Linked DNA regions of Elephas maximus indicus. Each later gene encodes a partner of the first gene's protein in a complex. Links are inferred from orthologs where the notes say so. Each region holds a gene or a part of one and is shown on either strand. Other genes may lie near its edges.

The links. The genes of interacting proteins can lie anywhere in the genome.
Region 2: EIF4A3 (region 1) and MAGOHB share a complex: the UniProt entries of both Homo sapiens proteins name them as parts of the mRNA splicing-dependent exon junction complex. The link is inferred for Elephas maximus indicus from reciprocal best matches to the Homo sapiens genes EIF4A3 and MAGOHB.

The regions. Positions count from the first base shown.
Region 1 is NC_064837.1:70,015,750-70,027,139, reverse strand, and holds the start of EIF4A3 (eukaryotic initiation factor 4A-III), read left to right. Parts: upstream 1-7,172; 5' UTR 7,173-7,263; coding exon 7,264-7,432; intron 7,433-11,390. UniProt on the Homo sapiens protein: ATP-dependent RNA helicase. Involved in pre-mRNA splicing as component of the spliceosome. Core component of the splicing-dependent multiprotein exon junction complex (EJC) deposited at splice junctions on mRNAs.
Region 2 is NC_064822.1:69,354,125-69,365,575, forward strand, and holds the start of MAGOHB (protein mago nashi homolog 2), read right to left. Parts: upstream 4,181-11,451; 5' UTR 4,115-4,180; coding exon 4,021-4,114; intron 1,648-4,020; coding exon 1,589-1,647; intron 725-1,588; coding exon 614-724; intron 1-613. Other genes in the region: tyrosine-protein kinase STYK1, read right to left, coding at 10,695-10,899. UniProt on the Homo sapiens protein: Required for pre-mRNA splicing as component of the spliceosome. Plays a redundant role with MAGOH in the exon junction complex and in the nonsense-mediated decay (NMD) pathway.

The DNA.
Region 1 (11,390 bases):
AATGACCAAGAGCTATAGAAACAGAGTTAAGGAAATCTCCTCCTGGACTCTGAGCTTCTTGAGGGCAAAAACTGTACCCCAGTCACCACTGTGTCCTTGGGAGGACCCCACTGTTGTTCTGTATCACACAAGATTGCAGCTGGGACATGCTCTGAAAGTCCATAAACAGTTTTCTGGTAACCCAGCTAGGGTGAAAGGGTATCCATCACCTGCGGAAATGCCAAGGGGCTGGGCTGTAGCTGGTACTGTGACAGCGCCATCTAGTGGCCCCTCATTCCTTGGCCAACGATCAATGAAGGCTTATTGATGAGAACTGGAACCTGGGCCAGCCATAGGGTTCCCCCGGGCCATACTTTATTTACGCATAACATTTAAGGGGCTGGGGAGAGGCTCCTGGATTTGCCTTGAAATCATGGGGTTTGCTCCACGTGAGATGGAGGCTTTACGTAAATGTAAAGACCCTGTAGTTGTTTCCTGCCATTGAGTCAGCTCCCAATGTATAGTGACCCCATGCACAACAAAACAAAACGCTGCCCAGTCCTGTGCCATCTTCGCAATCACTGGTATGCTTGAGTCCACTGTTTTTTTCAGCCACTGTGTATTTTGAGCCCCTTACAACCTAGGGGGCTCATCTTCTAGCACTATATTGGAAAATGTTCTCTTGTGATCCATAGAGATTTCACTGGCTGATTTTTGGAAATAGAACACTGGGCCTTTCTTCCTAGTCTGTCTGCAAGTTCTCCTGAAAACTGTCCACGACGGGTGACTCTGCTGGTATGTGAAATACCAGTGGCATAGCTTCCAGCATCATAGCAACACGCAAGCCACCACAGTAGGACAAACTGACAGATGGGTGGTGGCCCTGTAGGTACAAGTCAGGCCTATAAAAGGGAACTCCCAAGAATAGGAGTTTAGATGAGGAAGACAACCCCAACCCATCGCCCTGCTGTGGGCAGGAACTGGATGGAAGATCAGGATATGTACACAGGAGCATTATGATTCTTCGCTCTTGTAACTAGTGATTGGAAAGACTCCAGGACTTCTTCCACAACATTCTAAATGGGTTCCCAACCACCTGAGTGAGTGTCTCAGGTGGGGCCGGGTGGAGCTCTGGGGCTTGTCTTCTTCCCTGACCTGGGGGTTCCAGCTCCACACCCAGCTCCAGCCCCCACCACGGCTCTTCTACCGCAGGAAAACAGGAGGAGCCCAGCCCTGGCAGCAAGATGGTGAGTGGGGTGAGGAAGAGCAGGAAGAGGCTATTTCCAGAAGAGCTGGTAGAACGGGTCACTCCCTGCTGCTGCTCACTCCCGAGCAAGGGACTGAGCGAGCACCACCCTCATGCACACAGCTGCCCACCTGCCACCTCTCAGGTGCAGACTAGCTAAGTCAGACCTGGAGTCCCTGGGAGGTGCACATGATGGAGGCACTCAGCTGCTACCTGGAAGGCTGGGGGGTCGAGTCCATCCGGAGGCACTTTGGAGGACAGGCCTGGTGATCTACTTCTGAAAAATCAACTGATGAAGACCCTATGGAACACAGTTCTACTCTGACACAGATGGGGTCACCATGAGTTGGAATTGACTTCAGGACAACTGGTTAATGATTTTGCTCCAAAGCCATCATGACACTGTTACCCATGCCTTCCCCATCCCATAATGGTGCACCCAACTGCTCATACTGGAAACCCAGGAGTAATCTTCATACTCCTCGAACCCTAACCACCTGTCCATTCCATCCATCAGCCCTGTTGATCTCTCCCCTGGCGCCATCTCCATGTGACAACTCAAACAGCTGCCACCATGTCTCCAGCTGGGCTTCTTGCCCCCTCTTGCACCCCACACTCCATCCTCAACCACACAGCCAGGGGAGCTTTCTACCTGTTTACCAAAAGCCACCCTCCCCCTTCCCGCTACAGATTGAATTGCATGTCCTAAAAAGATAATCTGAAGCTGTAGGCCCTCCTACCTGTAAACGTGACCCTGTTTGGAAATAGGGTCTTTGAAGATGTAGCAGTCAGGTTAATATAAGGTAATATGGAGTAAGATGGTCTTAAAGCCATGGTATTTTCAATCGCATCTTATGCATGTGAAAGCTGGACGATGAATAAGGAAGACCGAAGAATTGACGCCTCTGAATTGTGTGTTGGCGAAGAATATTGAATATACCATGGACTGCCAAAAGAACGGATGAATCTGTCTTGAAGAGTACTACCAGAATGCTCCTTAGAGGCAAGGATGGCGAGACTGCATCTTACATACTTTGGACATGTTGTTAGGAGGGATCAGTCCCTGGAGAAGGACGTCGTGCTTGGTAAAGGACAGGGTCAGCGGAAAAGAGGAAGACCCTCAAACAGGTGGATTGATACAGTGGCTGCAACAATGAGCTCAAGCGTAACGACGACTGTAAGGATGGCGCAGGACTGGGCAGTGTTTCGTTCTGTTGTGCATAAGGTCACTATGAGTCGGAACTGATTCGACAACGGCACCTAACAACAACAACAATCCCATGTGACTGGCGTTCTTATAAAAGAGGAGAAGAGACAGGAGACAGAGGAAGGATGCCATGTTATGATGCTGCAGCTGCAGTCAAGGAAGGACTGCGGCTACCAGAAGCCAGGAAAGAGGCGGGAACAGATTCTTCCTCAGAGCCCCAGAAGCAATCAGTGTGGCCAACACCCTGATCTTGGACTCTCGACCTCCAGAACTGTGAGAGAATAAACCTTTTTTTGTTTTTTTAAAACAATTAATTTATTGAGACAAGAAATTCCTGTTCTTGTAAGCCACCCACTTTGTAGTATTTTGTTATGGCAGCCCTATAGGGTCACTATGAGTTGGAATCAGCTTGACAGCAATGGGTTTGCTTGTTTTGGGTTTAGGGAACTAATACAACCCCTCCTCCCAAAGAGGTGGTGGGGCGGGGGAACACCACCAAGTGGCTCATACAGCAACCATGATGAAATGTAAACTCCATTTTATAGGCTATAAAATCTTTTATGATCAGGCCCTGCTCACTTTTCCCTTACTCCCTGATGCCCCCACCCAATCTTCCCACATTCACTATGCCACAACCCTCTGGGTGTATGTCCCGTCTCATGCCTGTCTCCAGGTCTTTGTACCCATGGCTCCTTCTGTTTGGAACACTCTGTCCACCACCCCTCAAGTCAACCTTCCTCCAGCCACCTGGATAAACTGACTACCCAGTTCCTCTCTTCCACTTCACCTTATTGCCTTTTCTCCCCCGTAATTATGGAACCTGCAGCAATCTTATTTGTTTGGGTGCTTTGTCAGTCTTGCCCTACACTGGAATGTATGTGCTGTGAGGGAAGGTGCCGTCCGTCTGGTTCACCGCTGAGTCCAGCATCCAGGACAGCGCCTGCTCAATGGGTCACTGTTGCCTGGATGGTTGACCTACGCGAGGGCCAAAACCAAAACCAAACTTGTTGCCATCGAGTCGATTCTGACTCATGGCAATCCCACGTGTTACCAGGTAGAGCTGCTCCATAGGGTTTTCTTGGCTGCAATCTTCACTGAAGCAGATCGCTAGACCTCTCTTCCGCAGCACTGCTGGGTGGGTTCAAACGCCAGCCTTTCAATTAGTCATTGAGGACAAACCATTTGTTCCACCCAGTGACCTCATGCAAGTGCAGGAGTGCAGAAGTTGGGGCAGAAGCAAGGTGGGTTCAGTCAGTGCCTTGTAAGGTGCCCACCCCAGCCAGATGGGTTTAGAGAGGGCTGAGCCTAGAAAGGAACAGTGTTTGTCCTTCAACACCCCGTGGTGGGCAGGGACCTATGGCAGGAAGTCATGCAGTGGGGACATCTTCTGGGGTCAAGGTTACTTCTATCTAGGGCATCACCTCGTGCAGTGATGACTCATGCAAAACGCAGCGCAGAGAGCAGCACTACACTCAAATCTTTGCTGCTTCTGGACAGGACCAGCCACCTTAACCTTCTCCACCAGATCCCAAGAGTCAACATGGATACAGGAAAAGAGACAGCCAGCTCTTGAGAGGTGGAGCCACGTGGCTATTCCCGCTTTGCCCACAGCCCCTGTGTGTGTTCACGAAGTTCCTGAGGCAGTGCCCTGTATCCCCCCTTCCTCTCGCCCTGTGCATCACACAGTCAGCAAGCCAAAAAGCATTTACTGAGTACTAGTGTATGCTATCTGGATCATAACAAATTATGGATAATATTGCAAAGAATGGGAATTCCAGAACACTTAACTGTGCTCACATGAAACATATACATAGACCAAGAGGCAGTCATTTGAACAGAACCAGGGGATACTGCATTGTTTAAAATCAGGAAGGGTGTGCATCAGAGTTATATCCTTTCGCCACAGTTATTCAATTTGCATGCCGAGCAAATGATCTGAGAAGCTGGACTATATGAAGAAGAACAGCGCATCAGGATTGGAGGAAGACTCATTAACAACCTGCGTTATGCAGATGACACAACCTTGCTTGCTGAAAGTGAAGAGGACCTGAAGCACTTACTGATGAAGATCAAAGACCACAGCCTTCAGTGTGGATTACACCTCAACATAAAGAAAACAAAATCCTCACAGCTCCAATAAGCAACATCATGATAAACGGAGAGAAGACTGAAGTTGTCGAGGATTTCATTTTACTTGGATCCACAATCAACACCCATGGAAGCAGCAGTCAAGAAATCAAATGATGTATTGCATTGAGCAAATCTACTGCAAAAGACCTCTTTAAAGTGTTAAAAAGCAAAGATGTCACTTTAAGGATGAAGGTGCTCCTGACCCAAGCCATGGTATTCTTAATTGCCTTATACGCATGTGAAAGCTGGACAGTAAATAAGGAAGACTGACTAAGAATTGATGCCTTTGAATCATGGTGTTGGTGAAGAATATTGAATATACTATGGACTTCCAGAAGAACAAACAAATCTGTCTTGGAAGAAGTACAGCCAGAATGCTCTTTAGAAGCAAGGATGATGAGATTTTGTCTCATGTACTTTGGACATGTTATCAGGAGGGACCAGTTCCTTGAGAAAGACATCATGCTTGGTAAAGAGAGTTGGTGAAAAAGACGAAGACCCTCAACGAGATGGATTGACACAGTTTCTGTAACAATGGGCTCACACATAATGATTGTGAGGACAGCACAGGATTGGGCAGTGTTTCATTCGGTTGTACATAAGGCTGCTATGAGTCAGAACTGACTGGAAGGCACCTGGAATGGTTACAGTTTTGTGCCAACTTGGCTGGTACATGATTCTCAGTGGTTTGGGAGCTATGATGTAGTATGGTATTTGTATGATGTAGTCACCTCCATGATGAGATCTGATACGATATGATCATCTCCGTGATGGGATCTGCTGTAAGTAGCCAATCAGTTGAAAGGGAGCTTCCTTGGGGGTGTGCCTTATGTTCAATATATGTGGACTTTCTGGCAAAGCTCACTGGTTTTTGCTCTTCCCTGGACCCTGCATTCAGCTCATCAGTATCTGACCTCCAGTTCTTGGGACTTGGGCCAGCAGCCTGCTCTTACCTGCCGATCTTGGATTCATCTTACCTGCCAATCTCGGATTTATCAGCCCCTGCAGCTACGTGAGTCAGAAGCAACCAGCCTGACCCATAGACTTGGGACATTCCAGCCTCTACAACCATAAGGGCCATTTCCTTGAGATAAATCTCTCTCACTCTCTATATTTATAATATATGTATGTACGTGTGTGTGTGCTTCATTGGTTTTCCTTCTCTAGAGAACCCAGCCTAAGACAGCACCTAACAACTCTATGCTTGGGACACAATGGTGAGCAACACATACCCGGTCCTTGTCCTCCTGACTTTAGTCTAATCAGGTGAGACACCTCCTGCCCCTCGAAAAATATAAGCTGTGTGGAGAGTGAGGGGCAAGAGACAGAGAAGGTGCTGAGCCTGAACATAATGGGTAAGTCCACTTCAGTGACCCGGGTGTCTGTTGCTCTTGAGACATCAAGGAGGCTGGGATGAATGGCCCAGGGGTAACAAGCAGAATAAATCCATGCTTAGGGAACTCAGAGCTAGAAGTTCGTATAGTAGAAAACAGATCTTTTATTTTTGTCATCACTCAAGACAGATGGGTCTGAGTAATTGTGGGGAGAATAGGGCCCTTCTCAAAAGAAGAGGGTTTTTCTATGAACAAACGGTACCCTCAAAGGACACATACTATACAATCCCACTTATAGGAAATATCTAGAATCAGCAGATGCATACAGACAGAAGCAGATTAGTGGTTACCAGGAGCTGGGCAGGCAGAATGGGAGTTACGACTGAAGGGGTAGTTTCTGCTCGGGGTGATGAAAAAGCTTTGGAAACAAATAGTGGTGACAGTTCCACAACAGGGCGAATGTAATTAATGCCACTGAATGGTATAGTGAAAAGGGAGCTCTGGAAGATGAACCCTCTAGGTTGGAGGGCACTCCTAACACAGCGGCCCCAACAACGGACTTGAACAAATCAACGGTCAAAAAGATGGCGGAGAATCGAGCAACGTTTTGTTGGCTCAACAGCAACTAAACTCTGGTAGGAGCTTTCATCAGTCGCATTAGGAGATTAAAAAATGGCAACATAACCAGAGTTGACAAAAGGCAGTTTAAAAACTCAAAAAGTTTCCGAATGTCAGCGATTTGAAATATGGATTTCCATCTGGCTTTGGTAATAATTTCACACGGTGAGATATTAGCCAGTAATAACATCAGCCTAAAACGTATAAACGAGTAAATATACATATTTTAGAGAGTCATACTCAAATTATTTCCGCTCAAGGCGGAATCACCGGGAGACCCTGCCTAAGTGCCCGGGTGCCGACCCTCTGCCTGACTCCAGGGTCTCCAGTCTCACGCCGACTCGCGGCTGCCATACGTAGTGACCGTAATTTAGGGCAATTTCACCCTGCAGCTCGGGTAAGCCCACTAACGCGACCCTGCCCCACCTTGGGTAGGAATGTACCCACAACACACTCGCGCCGGGCACCGCCAGGCCCACTTCCTGCAGCCTCCGAGCCACTTGTACTGCCTCTTTCCGCGAGATCTCCAGAGCGCGCGAGAACAGCGACTCCGCCCCTTTCACGTGACCGAGAGCGCCCCGCCCCTCGCAGGCGCGGCCCGGTTCCGCGTTCGTACGCACGCACGCACAGGCAGGCGCGAGCGGTGGCGTCACTTCCTGTCGGAGGCCGCAGCGGGTCTTTGCTTCCGTTTGCCGCCTCGGACCAGCCGCCGTCGCAGCGCGCCCGCTCGTCTTTGCTCACTCGCAATCATGGCGGCCACGGCCACGATGGCGACCTCGGGCTCCGCGCGGAAGCGGCTGCTCAAAGAAGAAGACATGACCAAGGTGGAGTTCGAGACGAGCGAGGAGGTGGACGTGACGCCCACGTTCGACACCATGGGCCTACGGGAGGACTTGCTGCGCGGCATCTACGCCTACGGTGAGCGGCCGCGGGGCGCACGGGGGGCTGGCGCGCTGCGGAGCGGAGCGGAGCGGGGGCACTAGGGCGGACGGGCCTTCCGGACCTGCCCCAGAGGTCGGGGTCGGGGGTCGGGACTCGGGACGCGCGATTCCACGCCCCCAGCGCGTCCGCCAGCAGCGTCGGTGTCGGTTCACACAGTTCTCAGTGCTGAGCGCCGTGCTCGGTCCAGTAAGCACCTCACAGCCGTTCTGGGTGCATTGCACCCACTAGGTGTTAGGCCGGAGTCCTGGTGGCGCATTGGTTAAGCGCTCGGACGCTAACGGAAAAGTCGGCGGTTCTGACCCACCAGCTACTCCGCGGGAGAAAGATGTAGCAGTCTGCTTCTGTCAAGATTTCAGCCTTGGGAAGCTTATGGAGGCGGTTCTTCGCTGCCCCGTAGAGTCGTTATCAGTCAAAATAGACTCAGTGTGGCAAAGAATTTTTTTCTAGTTTTAGGTGTCAGGCAAAGAACTGGGGGCGCAGTGGTTAAGCGCTCGGCTGCTAACTGAAAGACCAGCGGCTTTTTGGAAGAAAGGCCTGGCGATGTGCTCCGGTAAACAGTGCAGCCTAGGAAACCCTGTGGGACAGCCCCACTCTGGCGCATGGGGTCGCTATGAGCAGAAATTGACTCCACAGCACCCAGCAACAGCAAGTGTTAGGCAACAGGCGCCAATGTAGGCTTTGGGGAGGTGGAGAAGCAGACACGTTCCCACGTCAGGGGGCTTTAATTGTATCTGTGAGAGGGACAATAACTGAAGCTATTTCAGACAGTTGTAATTGCTGTGAAGAACATAAAGCTGGGTGATTGACTAGGGAGTGACTGGGGGAGGGGAGGGGAGGGCAGTTTTAGTCAAAAAAGAGAAGATAGGTAAGAGGTCTCCAGCAGGAGGTGACACTTAAGGTGTGGCCTGAGTTGAGGAGCCGGCCGTGAGGAGACTGCTTGTGGAAGAGCATTCCCAGCAGAGGGCACAGCCGGTGCCAGGCCCAGAAGCCTGACTGAGGCCAGTGTTCCAGGAACAGAAGGGAGCCCAGGGGTGAGTTTGGAGAGGTAGTCGGGGCAGTTGTGGAGAGCATTGTGTGATGTGATAGAGAGCTTGAATTTAATTTAGGAGAGCATTCTGAATGTTCTGGGAGTTGGGGGGGTAAGGTAGGCGTGGAAGCAGGGGATGAGTTAGGAAGCTTTTGTTCCAGTCCCTGTGAGAGGTGATGGTGTTGTCACGGAGACAGAGAAGACCAGTAGAGCCAATGTGACTGGATTCGCTAATGGAGTGAATGTAAGTGGCAGAGGGCAAGAGGACTCGAGCTTGATTCCTCGGTGTTTTGAGGAACAGGGTGGATGATGGTGCCACTTGCCTAGGTGGGGAACCCTTGAGGGAGGCAGAACTGGGGATGCTGTCTTGGATGTGGGGACCTTGAGAGGCCTAGGATCCATCCATTGGGGTGTTGGGTGGGCTGTTGTCTGTGCAAGTTTGGAGCCCAGGACAGAGGTCAGGGTGGGCATGTGGATATGAGTTATCAGTGAACAAGGTAGGTGGTCTGTTTTCAAAGCATGGGACCGAGACGTGTTTTATCCAGACTGTTTTCAGCGACATGACACCAATCAGACGGTGAAGAGGCAGAGCTGAGGCCCCGGGGTGAAAGGGCAGCATTGCAGCAGGGCCTGTGCTGAGGCTGACTGCTGTGCAGTAGATTGCTTTTACATGGCTTTTTTTTCATGGTCTTAGGAGGTGCCTTCGAATTGGTTTTGACTCGTAGCCACCGTGTGTACAATAAAGCAAAACACTGCTTGGTCTCGTAACTCCCACCAAATGATCGGGTGGAACTATGCAAATGAGTTGCTAGTGGCCCACCAAGGGGATTGGATAGCTTGCTAATAATGCAAATAAAGTGCATGGCATCCTTGTGTGTGGGGGGGGGACCATGCAAATAAAGTGTATAGAACCCTAACAAGGGGATTGGTCAGTTTTTTCCATCTCGCTAGGCTTAAAATGAGCCATCCCAGAGGCAGAAAGGGGGGGACGTCACTACCACCAAGAAGGGATGAGCGTGGAATCTGTTCCTTGGACCCAGGATCACTGCTCTGAGAACCTCCTAGACTCAGGAGACAGAACTGTAATGTGAGGGACAGCAGGAAGTGGTGGCAGAGAAATGGCAGCAGCAGAACCACGAGGTAGAATGAGATGGCGCAGTGGCCTTACCAGCCCACAGAGTTAGGCAGTTACAGTGGGTGCGCTGGCCAGTGGAGCAAGAAAGCTGGGGAGCACCTTTGGGCCTGGCTTGCTGGTGGATTGGGGTGTCCCCGGGCAGTTATTGGCGGAGCTAAAGAGCTTTGTAACACTTACCCAAGTGGGGCAGGAAGGCCAGGCGGAGGCCTGCCTCTGGGCATGGCTAAGAATATACTGTCCTGATGGAAGAACTGTATCCTGAGTCATTGTTCCTGATCCTGAATTGTAACCTGGTACTTCTCTAACAAACTCCTTAACTGTGAGTATGGTCTGTGAGTTCTGTGTGGCTATTGCAGCGAATTATCAAACCCAGCAGAGAAGTAGAGGGTGCACTGGGAGGGACAGCTGGTGTCAGTATTGGTAAAAAGGTTGGACAGAGGAGGTACGTTTGACCTCCACATCATAGGAATCAGCCTTGGGCTGTTGATCTTGATTCTCCTTCCCCCTTGTGAAGTTAGAGGAGGTCAGAAGCCCCCGCTGTGCCATTTTTACAGTTATGTTTCCTGTCAGTCTCTTGGTTCTGCTGCTGCTTCTCAACATCTTGCCCTTCTCCAGTGTCAGCTCTCTCTCTCTCTCTCTCTGTCTCCTGAATCTAGGAGGTTCTCAACACAGGGACCCTGGGCTGAAGGATGTGCTCTGTTCCGCTCCCATCTCTTCTTGTTGGTGGTAGTGAGCCCCACCCCACTTCCTGCCTATGGAATGGTTCGTTTTAAGCCTAGTGGGATGGCAAAACTGACCAGTCCCCTCGTTAGGATTCCATACACTTTATTTGCATGGTCCCACCCCCTTTGAGAATGCCTTGCGTTACTAGCAATCTACCCAATCCCGTTGGTGGGCCACAAGCACTTTATTTGCATAAGCCCATCGATTCATTTTCTGGGAGTTAGAAGACCGTGGTGAGGAGGGCCATGTCGAAGTGAGCCATCACACTGTACTGACCAACCACCTGCCTCTTGTTGCTCAGGGCACCCTGGCTCTGAAGCACTGATTAGTTTCTCAGTGATGTCCTTGGTCATCATGGGGGGCTTAAATGACCTGTTATATTTGCTTTTATGTTAAGATGTGAAATTGTACTATGTTTTAAAAGACTCCTGAAAAATAACTAGAGTTTTGTATATGAAAACCAATCCTGTGCTGTTGGGTTGATTCCAACTCACAGCGATCCTATAGAACAGAGTAGAACTGCCCTGTAGGGTTTCCAAGGGTGTGATCTTTATGGGAGCGGACTGCCACATCTTTCTCCCATGGAGTGGCTGGTGGGTTTGAGCCTCCGGCCTTTCAGTTAGCAGCCAAGCACTTTAATCACTGCATCACCATGGCTTCTTGAGTAAAAAGTAAGCCCCTCCCCCCATGCCCCTCTCCAGGGCTAACCACCAATGACATTTGGTGCCCATACTTCCAGATATTGCACCCGCAAGAAATTTTATCTTTACCCAAATCCATGGTCTCTGTATTTTCTGCAACTTGATGTTCCCTTTACAGAGACTTCGTATAAGTAGTCTACCATGCTAGTTTAAAAACCTTCCGCAGCCTGAGTCATTCGGCCACTTACTTTTGTGAGCTTACTGTGTTGCTCACTGGGTTAGGTTGGGGTGTTGGTGGGGTTGGCGGCAGCAAAACAAAAAGAAAGATAAACCGTCTCTGCCCTCGAGGAGTTTACAGTAGATGCCTGTAAACCTGCTGGCATGAAGGTTAGAGTTAATTTTTTGGGC
Region 2 (11,451 bases), on another chromosome or scaffold:
TTCTTCCTTCCAGGGGTCGTATCTCATTTCTCCAAGAGTTGAAAAGACCCAATTCAGAAAGCAAACTGCATTTCTATAGAATGAAATTAGGCCTTCAGAGTTCTTCAGAAGCCCTTTGAGAAACATCAATTATTCTGAAGGGAATATGAGAGGCAAAGAACAAAGAAACCAATCAAATTCTTCTCTGGGACATAATAATGCAAATAAGAATTCTAAAAGTTATAAATTTGGGGAAAGTGAACTTCACATAGTCAATTAAAATTATAAGTCTAGAACTGACAAACAACACTTGTACTTACTCCTAATAAAAGCAGTTAACATACAATAGAAACTATTCATAATTGTGAAAATATCCTAATTTTAGCTAGGTAGCTATGATGAAGATTATCCAGAAAGATCTCTAAATTTACAGCTATACATTGACTCCTTTCTACTATGATGTAGCATGGAAAATGAATCTAAATGAAATAAAATTCTAAAATAATTATCAGGTGCCTACTAAATGTAAAATCAAGACCCAGGGAAGACTCATTCTAAATAAATAAGGTGAAACATAACAATTACATTGCCAATTTTTAATATTTATACATTTAAAGAATTATTAAACACTAACCTGTCGGCCAACCCTGTCAGGGGGAGGCCATAAAGCATCATCTTCTTTGGTAATTTCACTGTCGTCAATAATTCTCTTCAGTTCTTCCATTACACTCTTGTGTACATAAGCCTGAAAATAAGTTATAATAAAAATTTCATGCTTGACTATTTCTTCCTACTACTCAGAAAGAAATGATTAAAAGGAGTTACAAACCCTGAATATTCAAATATAATATTATAGAAAATTTTAATTCTGATTTCAAACTTACAGGATGGGAATCATTCGTTCTCCATATGTTATTTTTTTTCACTCTTTACCCTTTCTTCTAGTACATATTTTTCCTTCTTCTCATCACTAAACCAAAAACAAACCAAACTCATTGCTGTCCAGCAGATTCCGACTCATAGCCATTCTATAGGACAGAGTAGAACTGCCCATAGAGTCTCCAAGGAGCAGTTGGTGGATATGAACTGCCGACCTTTTGGGTAGTAGCTGAGCTCTTAACCACTGCACCACCATGGCTCCAATCACTAGCCGGTTTTAATACACTATATTCCATCTTTGAAACATGGGGACTTATATATCTCAGAGTATAAATGGTGACAGTACAAAGTCTATGAGGTAAAGAGAGATAAATACCAAACACATACCAGTTACTGCTTTGAACTTTTTCACACCTCATTTTGAGTCTTTAATTTAAAATGTATACTATTTTTAAATCATGTTCATTAATTGGCTTTAGGTAGCAAATAAAAAACAAAATTAATTATAAAATAAATTGGATGATATGTTCAAATGTGGGACTATAACTTAATATATCCAGGTAGCTTCTTTTGTTGTTAGAGATGCTACAATTATATCTAATTTAATTGAATCATTTTTCAATCTATAAATTGGCTTCTTCTTTACAAACAGCCTCAGATGTACTTTTGTTAATTCAACAAACATGAGGAAAATGGACTAAATGTAAAAAAACACACACAAAAAACTTACCTCTTTTCTGATCATAACATCATTTTTGTAATTGCTGTTGTTGGCATATCTAAGCTTTCCTATGGAAAGTGGAAAAAAATTCAATCCATAACAGTAAAAACTGCTAAAAAATAAATGATACTGTAAGCAATTTTTATATCACATTAGCATTTCCTCCCTCCTAGTGTAAGATCATGGCAACCCCATTTGTGTCAGAGTAGAACTGTCCTCCACTAGGTTTTCAATGGCTGATATTTGGGAAGTAGATCGCTGGGCCTTTCTTCCGAGGCACTACTGCTGAACCCAAACCACCAGTCTTTCGGTTGACAGCCCAGCGCCATCACCATGAATAAGAACAGACTTGAAGGCAACTGCTAACTGGTGTATAAGATCAATGTTAGACATAGAGACACTCAATAAATATTTGTTGTTAAGTTGGTAGAAGGTGAAGCTAGTCAAATTTTTTAATATTCCATGCCTACACTATATAATATGAAGGTCATTTTTAAGGCCCATTTTCTTAAGCTATGTCATGAACTGGAAAAGAAATCTGAAAAAGGAACTAATATATCTTTTTAAGTTTATGTTATATATCTGTATTGGTGCTAAGTGTTTTACCTAAAGCATCTATTCTAATGGTAAAAACAACCCTAAGTAGTAGATTTTATTATCCCTATTCATTTTTTTTTTTTTTTTTTATTCATTAGTAAGAAAGCAGTTAAGTAACCTGCCCAGGATCATACAAGGTTCATATCTAGACCTACTGTCTTCCAGTACTCATGCTTTTTCCACTACTCCAAAACATTTTCTTTTAATTATTTCCCTTCAAATTAATGTACATGATTACAGCAATAGTAATGTTTTAGTACTGTGACAAGCAAGCATACAAATTCTGTTCTGGCTCTGGATAAAAGATTACCAGTTTGTTAGCTGATTTATATTTAATTTTAAACCATCATGACTTTTGTACTCTCTGATAAATCGTTCTCCTCACAGCCAGTCAGTTGTCCAGGTACAGACGTAATGTGGTCCTGACCCTCTAAAATAATAGGGTGCCCTAGTGCAACGGGTTTGTGTGCGTGTGTGTGTGTGTGTGTTTTTAGGGGGGGTTAGTGATGTGTACCCCTTAGAAATTGTCTGTGACCCACTACTATTGATGGAAGTATGTGGTACAGTGTGGTGGAAGATAAAGGGATGAGAACCACTGTTCCGGCATAAAATTTCCCTGATACGTCAGGGTACTTAATTTATTTGACTGGCTAAAAAGGCGTATGGACAAGCTGGATGATGTTCACAGGTGAGGGGAATGAAAATAGCATCACATAAGAAAAGCTCAGATGAAGAATTCAGGTATATTTAACTCCTTAACCAAATTTAGAAAAGACATGCAGATGACAGGGTAAATGAGGTGATTTAGGTTTCTAAATAACAGCAGGGCTGTAGATACCTTGATTTCCACCTGAAATGCCTGATACTCTTCCCCTTTCCTAGTATGTGATCCTCTCTCTAATTTTTCTTTCATATTCTCAAAGAACTTTGTCCAAAGCATATCCACACTGCTTTATGGTTAATTTCACGTCTGTTTCCCACTCAAGCATAACTCTTTGAGGGAAATTAAAGACTCTTACTCTTTACTGAATCCTTAGTTTTCTATTTATCATTTTCCCAGCACATAATATGCACTCCAAAAGAAAATCTATTCAGTTGAACCGTCCTTGTTGCAGGTGGATAGAGTTCAATATACAATAATGCTCTCTCTATAGTCAGAGCTGTCAAAAGACACAATTTGCTACACATTACATGGCAACAGGCAGCTTCACCTTGCCCTCTGTTCATTCTGTTCTCCCAGTCTGACTACCTTTTTTCCTCAGAGAACATGAAATACCTAAGCCTATTTCAAGATTCAGTTCAAGGGTCACCTCCTCTAGGAAGTTTTCCTTGACTGCCTCATGTAGAATTAACCACTCCCCCTTTTGTACTCCTAATGCACCCGGTGGTAAACAACTCTATTTAAGCACCCAAAACACATCACCACACTTATTTGTTCCCACATCGGCCTAAACCCTTCAGAACTGGTCTCATTCTCTTTCTAGACCTGCTGCCTTACACACACTGCTCAATCAATGAATGGGTAGTCCGGAAGTTATCGATCACCAGTTAAGATCTTAAGCATCCACCGGTCCACTGCTTGGTGGGGTGTTACAAATGTTCAAGTATTAGGTCTTTAAAGCAGCTGGCCTTAAGATGCCTTCCGGCGCACTGATTTCAGGATGCTGATTACCTTAGGTTCTAAGCTCCCATTTGTTTCGGCTCAAGCAGTAGCCTGTGTTCGCAACGTACACTCCAGGCCCACCGAGGCTCTCTTGCTCCACCCCACCTCCCTTATTCTCCGCTGCATCTCCGCCTCGCCTCCCTTAGCCCAGCACCCCGCCAGCTGCCCCTCCTCGGCTCACCGTCTGGTCGAAACTCGAACTCCAGGAACTCGTGCCCAAACTTGCCCTTGTGCCCTACGTAGTAGCGCAGGTAAAAATCGCTAGCCATAGCCATTTTCGCGCCTGGTAAGCCCTCCGAAGTCCTGGAAACGGGCCTCCCGGCGCCTGACAGTGACGTCAAGCGGCCCAGAATAAGCGCGTCACTGCGGCAGCCACGATTCTTCCGCCAGCGCTTCTGATCCCCGAGGAAAGCACGGAGGGAGGTTAGGAGTGACGTGAACGTCGCCTCCTGACGTTTGGAAGCACGTTAAAATAAAAATTAAGTGATTCCATTATATTAGCAGAGGACAAAGTGTAAAAAAACATAACGGCATTTTTGTGTGGGCTTAGAACTGAGATTTACAAGTCGGTTTTAATTTTTGTGTATTAAATTCTCACCGTGCAATCCATGGGTGGTGCATGCAAGCGTTACCGCCAGAAGTTGGAGGCTCCAGTTCACCCAGAGGCGCCTCAGAAGAAAGGCTTGGAGATCTACTTCTTTAAAAATCAGCCATCGAAAACTGTACGGGGCCCAGTTCTATCCTCATGGGGTCTCGTGAGTCAGGATAACCTCCAGGGAAACTGGTAGATCTCAGTGACAGGCCTGTGAAGTGGGCATGGCTTTTTTGCCATTTTAATTTGTGAAGTGAGTAAAGCTAAAGCCCAGAATCCGAGTGGGAGACCTGGAATACGTCCATTTCTCCTGCCTGATTTCAAGCACGGGGCTTTCTTTAAACAACGATTGCTGGTATCAGACAGCTAGAAGACTATAATAATAAACACAAAATGGAAGGAATCCATCAGAGGAAGAGGTCTGAAGTTTTGAAAGGCACATTGAAACTAAAACTCCTTGACCGTATAGAAGAGTTATTTTTTAATATCAAAAACTTATAATGTGCTTCATTCCATATTTAAGGGTTAACCTCTAGTGTCCTACAGAGTTTTGGCAATTTGACTTAAGATCAAGTAATGATTTAGCCCACGTTTCTCATCAGATAAATTGAATTGGGGAAGTGAACAAAGAGAAGGATGAGGAAAGACAGAGCGAGCTTTTACACAGTCTGTTTTTCAAATATTATTGATCACTCTTCTGTTACCAGCAGAGTAATTCTGTGTGTTAAATGATCCCATAACCCTCAGCAGGGTTTAGTAGAAAGAGTAGCGCTCAGAAAACCTAAGAGTTACCCAAATACTGCCACTATTTAACCTTGTCAAGTCAGTGTCTCTAAGCCTGTTTGTTCATTAACCAAGTGGATATACCACAATCGACTGTGAAGCTCACGGAATTGTTAAGAGAATCAAATAACGTATGTAAAATAAGCTTTGAAATATATAAAGCATGCCCCATGTGCCAGAAATGGTGGACACAGGAAATAAAAAGAGCCTTTTGCATTTATAGTCTAGAAAAGAAAACAAGCATATAGACAAATACTAGCACAAGACAGCAAATGCTGTAATGAAGAATATGTAAAAAATGCTGGCAGTACAGGAGAGGAAGCAAGTCATTCTAGTGAAGAGTAGGGGAAATTGAAGAAATGGGCATATCAAGGAAGGCTTGTAAAAAAAAAAGGTGCTATTTGAATTGGACCGTGGCAAATGTTCAGAGGGATGGAAGAGCATTCCAGGCACAGAATGTGCTCAGCAAAGTCAGTGGTGTGAAAATACATGTTTTGGGAAAACCAGCACATAGCTAGAATGTAAGATTCATGGAAGTGAAACGACTAGAAACGCAGACTGGGCCAGGTTATATTCAGCCTTACAAATAAAGCGTTATTACATAACTGTTAATATAGACAAATTACTCCTTACTATTTTTTTTTTTATAGGCCACCATGTTGGTTGTCAGCTGCCATCACGTTGGCATCACCACGCACAAAGGAACGAAACACACTGCCCGTTCCTGAGCCGTTCCATAATCAGGTGCAGATCCGACCTCTGTGATCCACAGAGTTTTCATTGGCTGCTTTTCAGAAGTAGATCACCAGGCCTTTCTTCCCAGTCCATCTTAGTCTGGAATTTTCACTGAAACCTGTTCAGCATCATAACAACACTTCAAGCCTCTACTGAAAAACAGGTGGCGGCTGCACAGGAGGTGCGTTAGCCAGTTACCAAACCCAGGTCTCCCACATGGAAGAGGAGAATTCTATCACTGCACCATCAATACCCTCAAAATATTCCTTAGTATCTCTGAAAATACAGACTGTGATCCATTTGGTTTGTTTTTTGGTGAAAAATGAAATCATTCCTACTTCCAATCTTCAGAATCATCTTCTACTTTCCTATGATAAATACTAGAAATGATAGCCTTTCATTTTCATTTGTTTATTTTATCTGTAATTTTTTACTAATTTTTATTTTGTACTTGCTTACAGAACAAAAATTGTCTCATTCAGTCAAAGGACCTGAGGAGTAAGCCAAGAATATTTTATGGTCTAAAATTAACTCTTTATATTTTAATGCCAAAAGACTTGTCACTTGAATCATGATAAGAATTGCAAAATGGTAAAGTATTTGTGTTTTGGGATCTTCTAGGATGTCATACAGCAGTGATGTGGAAATTTTCCATATGGCTACAAAGCACTGAAATGTGGTTAGGGACTGAGGAGCTGAATTTTTATTTTTACATATTATTAAATTTTATTAATTTAAGTTAATACTTACATAGCCAAACATGGCTAGTTGCTACTATGCTGGACAATCCAGTTATAGAAGACCCTTTTCAAACATTCTTACTTGGGCTGGAAGTAGTAAAAATATTTTGTGAATGTTAATCTCAGTTGCCATAGGCTTCAAATTAGGGCACAATTACTAATATCACCACAGTTTATTTATGTAAATAAATGTTTGGGCTGCTTTCATGAAGCCAAATGAAGTCTTTTCTTTGGACTACCATTACCTCGTTTGCTAATACAACCTATGTGTACTCAGCTTCAAAGTACCCTCTGACATAGGTAAAAAGTAAACATTTTATTGTCAGCTTCACTTGAAATTGAGGCTCAATGATTCAGGCAAATACACAAAACTCATTGACAAAATAATGATGCCCCAGGAAAGTTTTTAAAAGTTTATTGCTTTCAGCTTCATCGTGATTAATCAAGTCAGGAGGCTACGGGCAGAGATGGTTCTTATACCAGTTAATTTAATATTTAAAATGTTCTACTGATTTTTCCTACAGCTAAAATTCTCTCTTCCTTTGACCTCTCTTTCATATCCCCTTTGTCTTCACACCTTTTTTTGCCTCTATTTAAAATTATCAAGAGGAAGCCCTGGTGGCGCAGTGAGTGGTTAAAGCGCTCAACCGCTAAATCATTCCTACTTCCAATCTTCAGACATCTTCTAACTTTCCTACAATAAACACTAGAAGTGATAGCCTTTCATTTTCATTTGTTTACTTTATCTGTAATTTTTTAATAGTTTTTATTTTGCACTTGCTTGTAAGCAAGTACAAAAATTGTCTCCTTCAGTTAAAGGACCAGAGGAATAAGCCAAGAATATTTTATGGTCTAAAGCAGTATTTTAAGGTGGTTTCTTTTTATTTTATTTGTAATGCCAGAATGGCATGGTCTATTTCAGTCTTTTTCCATCACTTACCTTTCTCTTCTCTTTTCTACAATAGACTTCCTTGTGGAATTTTAACCAGAATATTTTTTTAACCACTCAGTGGTATTAATTTTTTAATAAGAGAACTTCCAAAATTTCCACACCATTGTTTTTCAGGTAAGTTCATACATGGTGAGTACTTGGAGCTATTTCTAGGTCCTTTTTCATGACAGGATAATATATTTAATTCCATTTTTCAAATTAAGAATTCTTTCCCAGTATATGACAATATTATATGTTTCTAACGCATACATAACCACTAACTCTTATGTCCAAAACAAAAACGGCCTGTTAAATTAAGCATAATAGGCTATCTTCCCAATTTACCATTATCTTTGCTACTTGTTTATTTGTTAAAATGAGTTATGATAAAGCAACAATGTAAGAAAAATTATTACGGCAAGGTTACAATTGAGAAAATTCTACCCATTAACTTACTTTTTCTTTTAAATGTTAAAAAAAAATTATAATTCAGTTTTAACAAAATACCCAAATCCAGCGTGAAAATCACTAGTACTCTGCCTGAGCCTGATTGAAAACTACTGGTTCAAATGATTCCAAGTTAAATGATATTGTCAAGTTCCCAGTGTGACACTGTATCCAGGTGATGTTGGAAATTTCTTATCAATAAAGTATTTTTGTTGTTTTTAGTTGAGGGGGTTATCAAAGCAATAAAAGAAATACCTAATTTGGCTGCCTGGTCAAAGACGCCAGAATTAGAATTCCAGAAATAAAATCTTCCTTTTGGAAAAAGCCTGGCCACCTAAGGAAAAGACCATTTTCTTAGAGTAAGCAATTGCTGTATCCAGTTTCCCAGACCTATAAAACTAGGGATAAAACTTTAAAATAATAGGTGTCTGCTTCTTTCCCTATTACCAAAATAAATATGAACGGACAGTATGAAAGAGCAGTGCCCCATTGTATCTTGTGCCGCCTGCCCATGAACTCACACTTACCTCTTTGCAGTTCCTCAAACAACTGTGCTTTTTCTTGCCCAAAGGTTTTTAACACATATAGTCTTTCTCCCAGTTCTCCTTTCTTTATCTGGCTTCCTTACTCATCCCTAAGGTTTCATTTTACATGCCACTTCTTCAGGAAGGTCCCCATCTCATACTCCCTTCATTTATCCCTTTTTTCAGAGCACTTACCACAACTGCTAATTAACAAATACCCATACAAGTAAATATATAATGTATCTCTAACCTTCTAAACTATAATCAAAACTGCTCTGTTTCTTGTATCCAACACCCATCACAGTGTCCAGTACAGTGGGCCCTACTAATACATTTTTAAAAGAATATTTGAATAAATAAATGCTCTGTGAATTTGATTTAAATGAACTGCTGAGAGCCAACAACGAGATTCCGCAGGACTTTATCGTGTGCTATGCCACTCTCCCTCCTTTTTCCTTCTGCCACTTGCCACCTTTTAAATCGTTGTGACATTAAGTCCTTGTGGTACCCCCACAGCTGCAAGTGTCATTATTCAGTTAGCTGACTCGTCATGACTCCAGCAGGATTCCAACTTCTACAAAATTTTCCACTGCCAGGCATCTTTCCTATAGCCATCTTAGATGTCACTCCCAGGCTACGCAGAGTATTGTTTAGAAGCACAGATCAACCGAATTGCCATTACTACAATATTTTCAATACTTTGAAGGAGTAGAAGACTACTATCACCATCCAGAAGCTCACATAAAAAGGATGACATCATCATTTTGTTCATGTGGTATTTGTACCATCCCATTATCTTCAGGAATGTCCTGGCTTGCAATGTAGCTGACAGACTGAGGTTTTCAGACCCAATAGATTTTAAATGAAAAATATATGAAAAGTTCGGGAACAGGAAGGGACAAAGAAAGAAAAATTATATTTATTGAGCACGTATGTGCCAGATGCTGTATAAATACTCTCTATCCTCACAACAACCCTGTGAGGTAAGTAATATATCCATTTTACACATGCAGAGTCTCTTTTCTGACAGTGGAGAGTGTCTCTGGAATTCTTCCAGTGGCATTAACTTCTATTAATTTACTTTTATCATCTCTATTGTAGAGATTAAGGCAGCTGTATGCCAGAAAAGTCTATAGTCACTCAATAAATATTAGTTTAATGAAATAAGTTTCATAACACATAAATGGATGACTCAAAATTAGAAGATACAACCCTTCTTTCTCAGACTACATCCTTCTCTAGCCCTTATGAAAAACCTTTCGAGATAAAGCTTTCTTGCTTGGTTTCCATGTTTGCTGTTTATTAAACAAACACACACAAAGCATTTGCATTACTGATTAAACTTTGACTTTCTAGGCTCAGTCTCCTTAGTCTTACAGGGACTAAGAAGCTAGCCTGATGAGCAATATATATCCAATGTTCTTATTCATAAATCAACTCCTCCAGCTTCCAGTTAGAAGCAGTACCAACAGTTCACCTTTCTCAGAAAGAAAGGGATTACTTTCACCTGTGCTCAAGGGGAAGCTCAAAAGTTTTCCTCCATTGTTCTCCTCCCATCCTATGTGATGAGACCAGGAGTGGAGAATTTTATGTCCTTCCTTCATTGTCTCTTTGAAGGATGGACTTGGTCCATACCTATACTCCCAAGCAGATAGAACTTTTAATTTCCTTTCTCTTCAACTCCTTATTGACTTCCAATTGTGTCATTTGATTCTAATTGCTCTAGACTTCATAATAGTCTAGATAAAAGCATGTTTCAGGAGGACACTAGTCTGGGGTGGGAGAAAACCAGCTTATTTGTGTCATGCCCCAACAACATTGCAGATTTCCAAAACCTCCTCTATCACCACTTCTATTTTGGGTCTTTAATGGAGTCTTGAGAATTGGGACAGCAGAAATGAGATTAAAAATATTTCTCAGCCTCAAGGATATGGTGTGTTGAGCCTGAGCCAACATCATTTCAGGTTTCTAGAGGAATTTGTAGGGGAAGACCTTGTCCCATCTCTCCCTTCACGCTCCCCTAGAAAGTCCATTATCAGTTCTTGGAGGAATTGGTTCCGAGAGGATATGATCAGACGTAAATGTTTCTTGCCTGGAGGGTCCTCAAAGGATGGTGTAGTTGTAGTGGAGGCTGTCCACGCTGATGCCGGCCACATCTGCGTACAGTTCAGGCACCACTAACTCTGGTACTTGCAACACAGCCTTGTCATTTGCAGTTCGAGCAGCAGCTTCTAGGCGCAAGCGTAGATCTCTAGGTGAGGGGCGGCTGTCTTCACTCCAGCGCCAGCAGGACTTCATAAGGTTATACCTGAAAGGGAAACCAGAGAAACTGACTTCCTTGGCAAGGCAAATGTATGAGCAACACGTCTCCTCTCCCAATAAACCTTAACAAAAAAGCCTGCAAGTCCAATTGTTTCATCTACTTCTCTTTGCTCTGTCTCTCATATACTAATAATTCTAATTTTCATTTTCTTAATATCAAGTCTCTTAACTTTATTAACACCCAAACCCCAAAACCCATTGCCATCGAGTCGACTCATCACAATCCTGTGTGACAGAGTAGAACTTTCCCATAGGGTTTCAGGCTGTAATCCTTATGGAGGCAGATTACCACACCTTTCTCCCAAGGAGAGGCTGGCAGGTTCAAACCACCAGCCTCTCAGTTAGCAGGCGAGCACTTTAACCACTGCACCACCAGAGCTCCTTGTCATATCAACCAGGCCTTCTAACAGGAATGACTCAAGATTTTTCTAACTAGGACCAGTATGACTTCCACTCTACAGTCAATCACTCTTTCAGAAGTTAAATGTTCTTTTCTTTAGCCATTATTAAATTGCAGAACTCCAGATCAGTACTATAA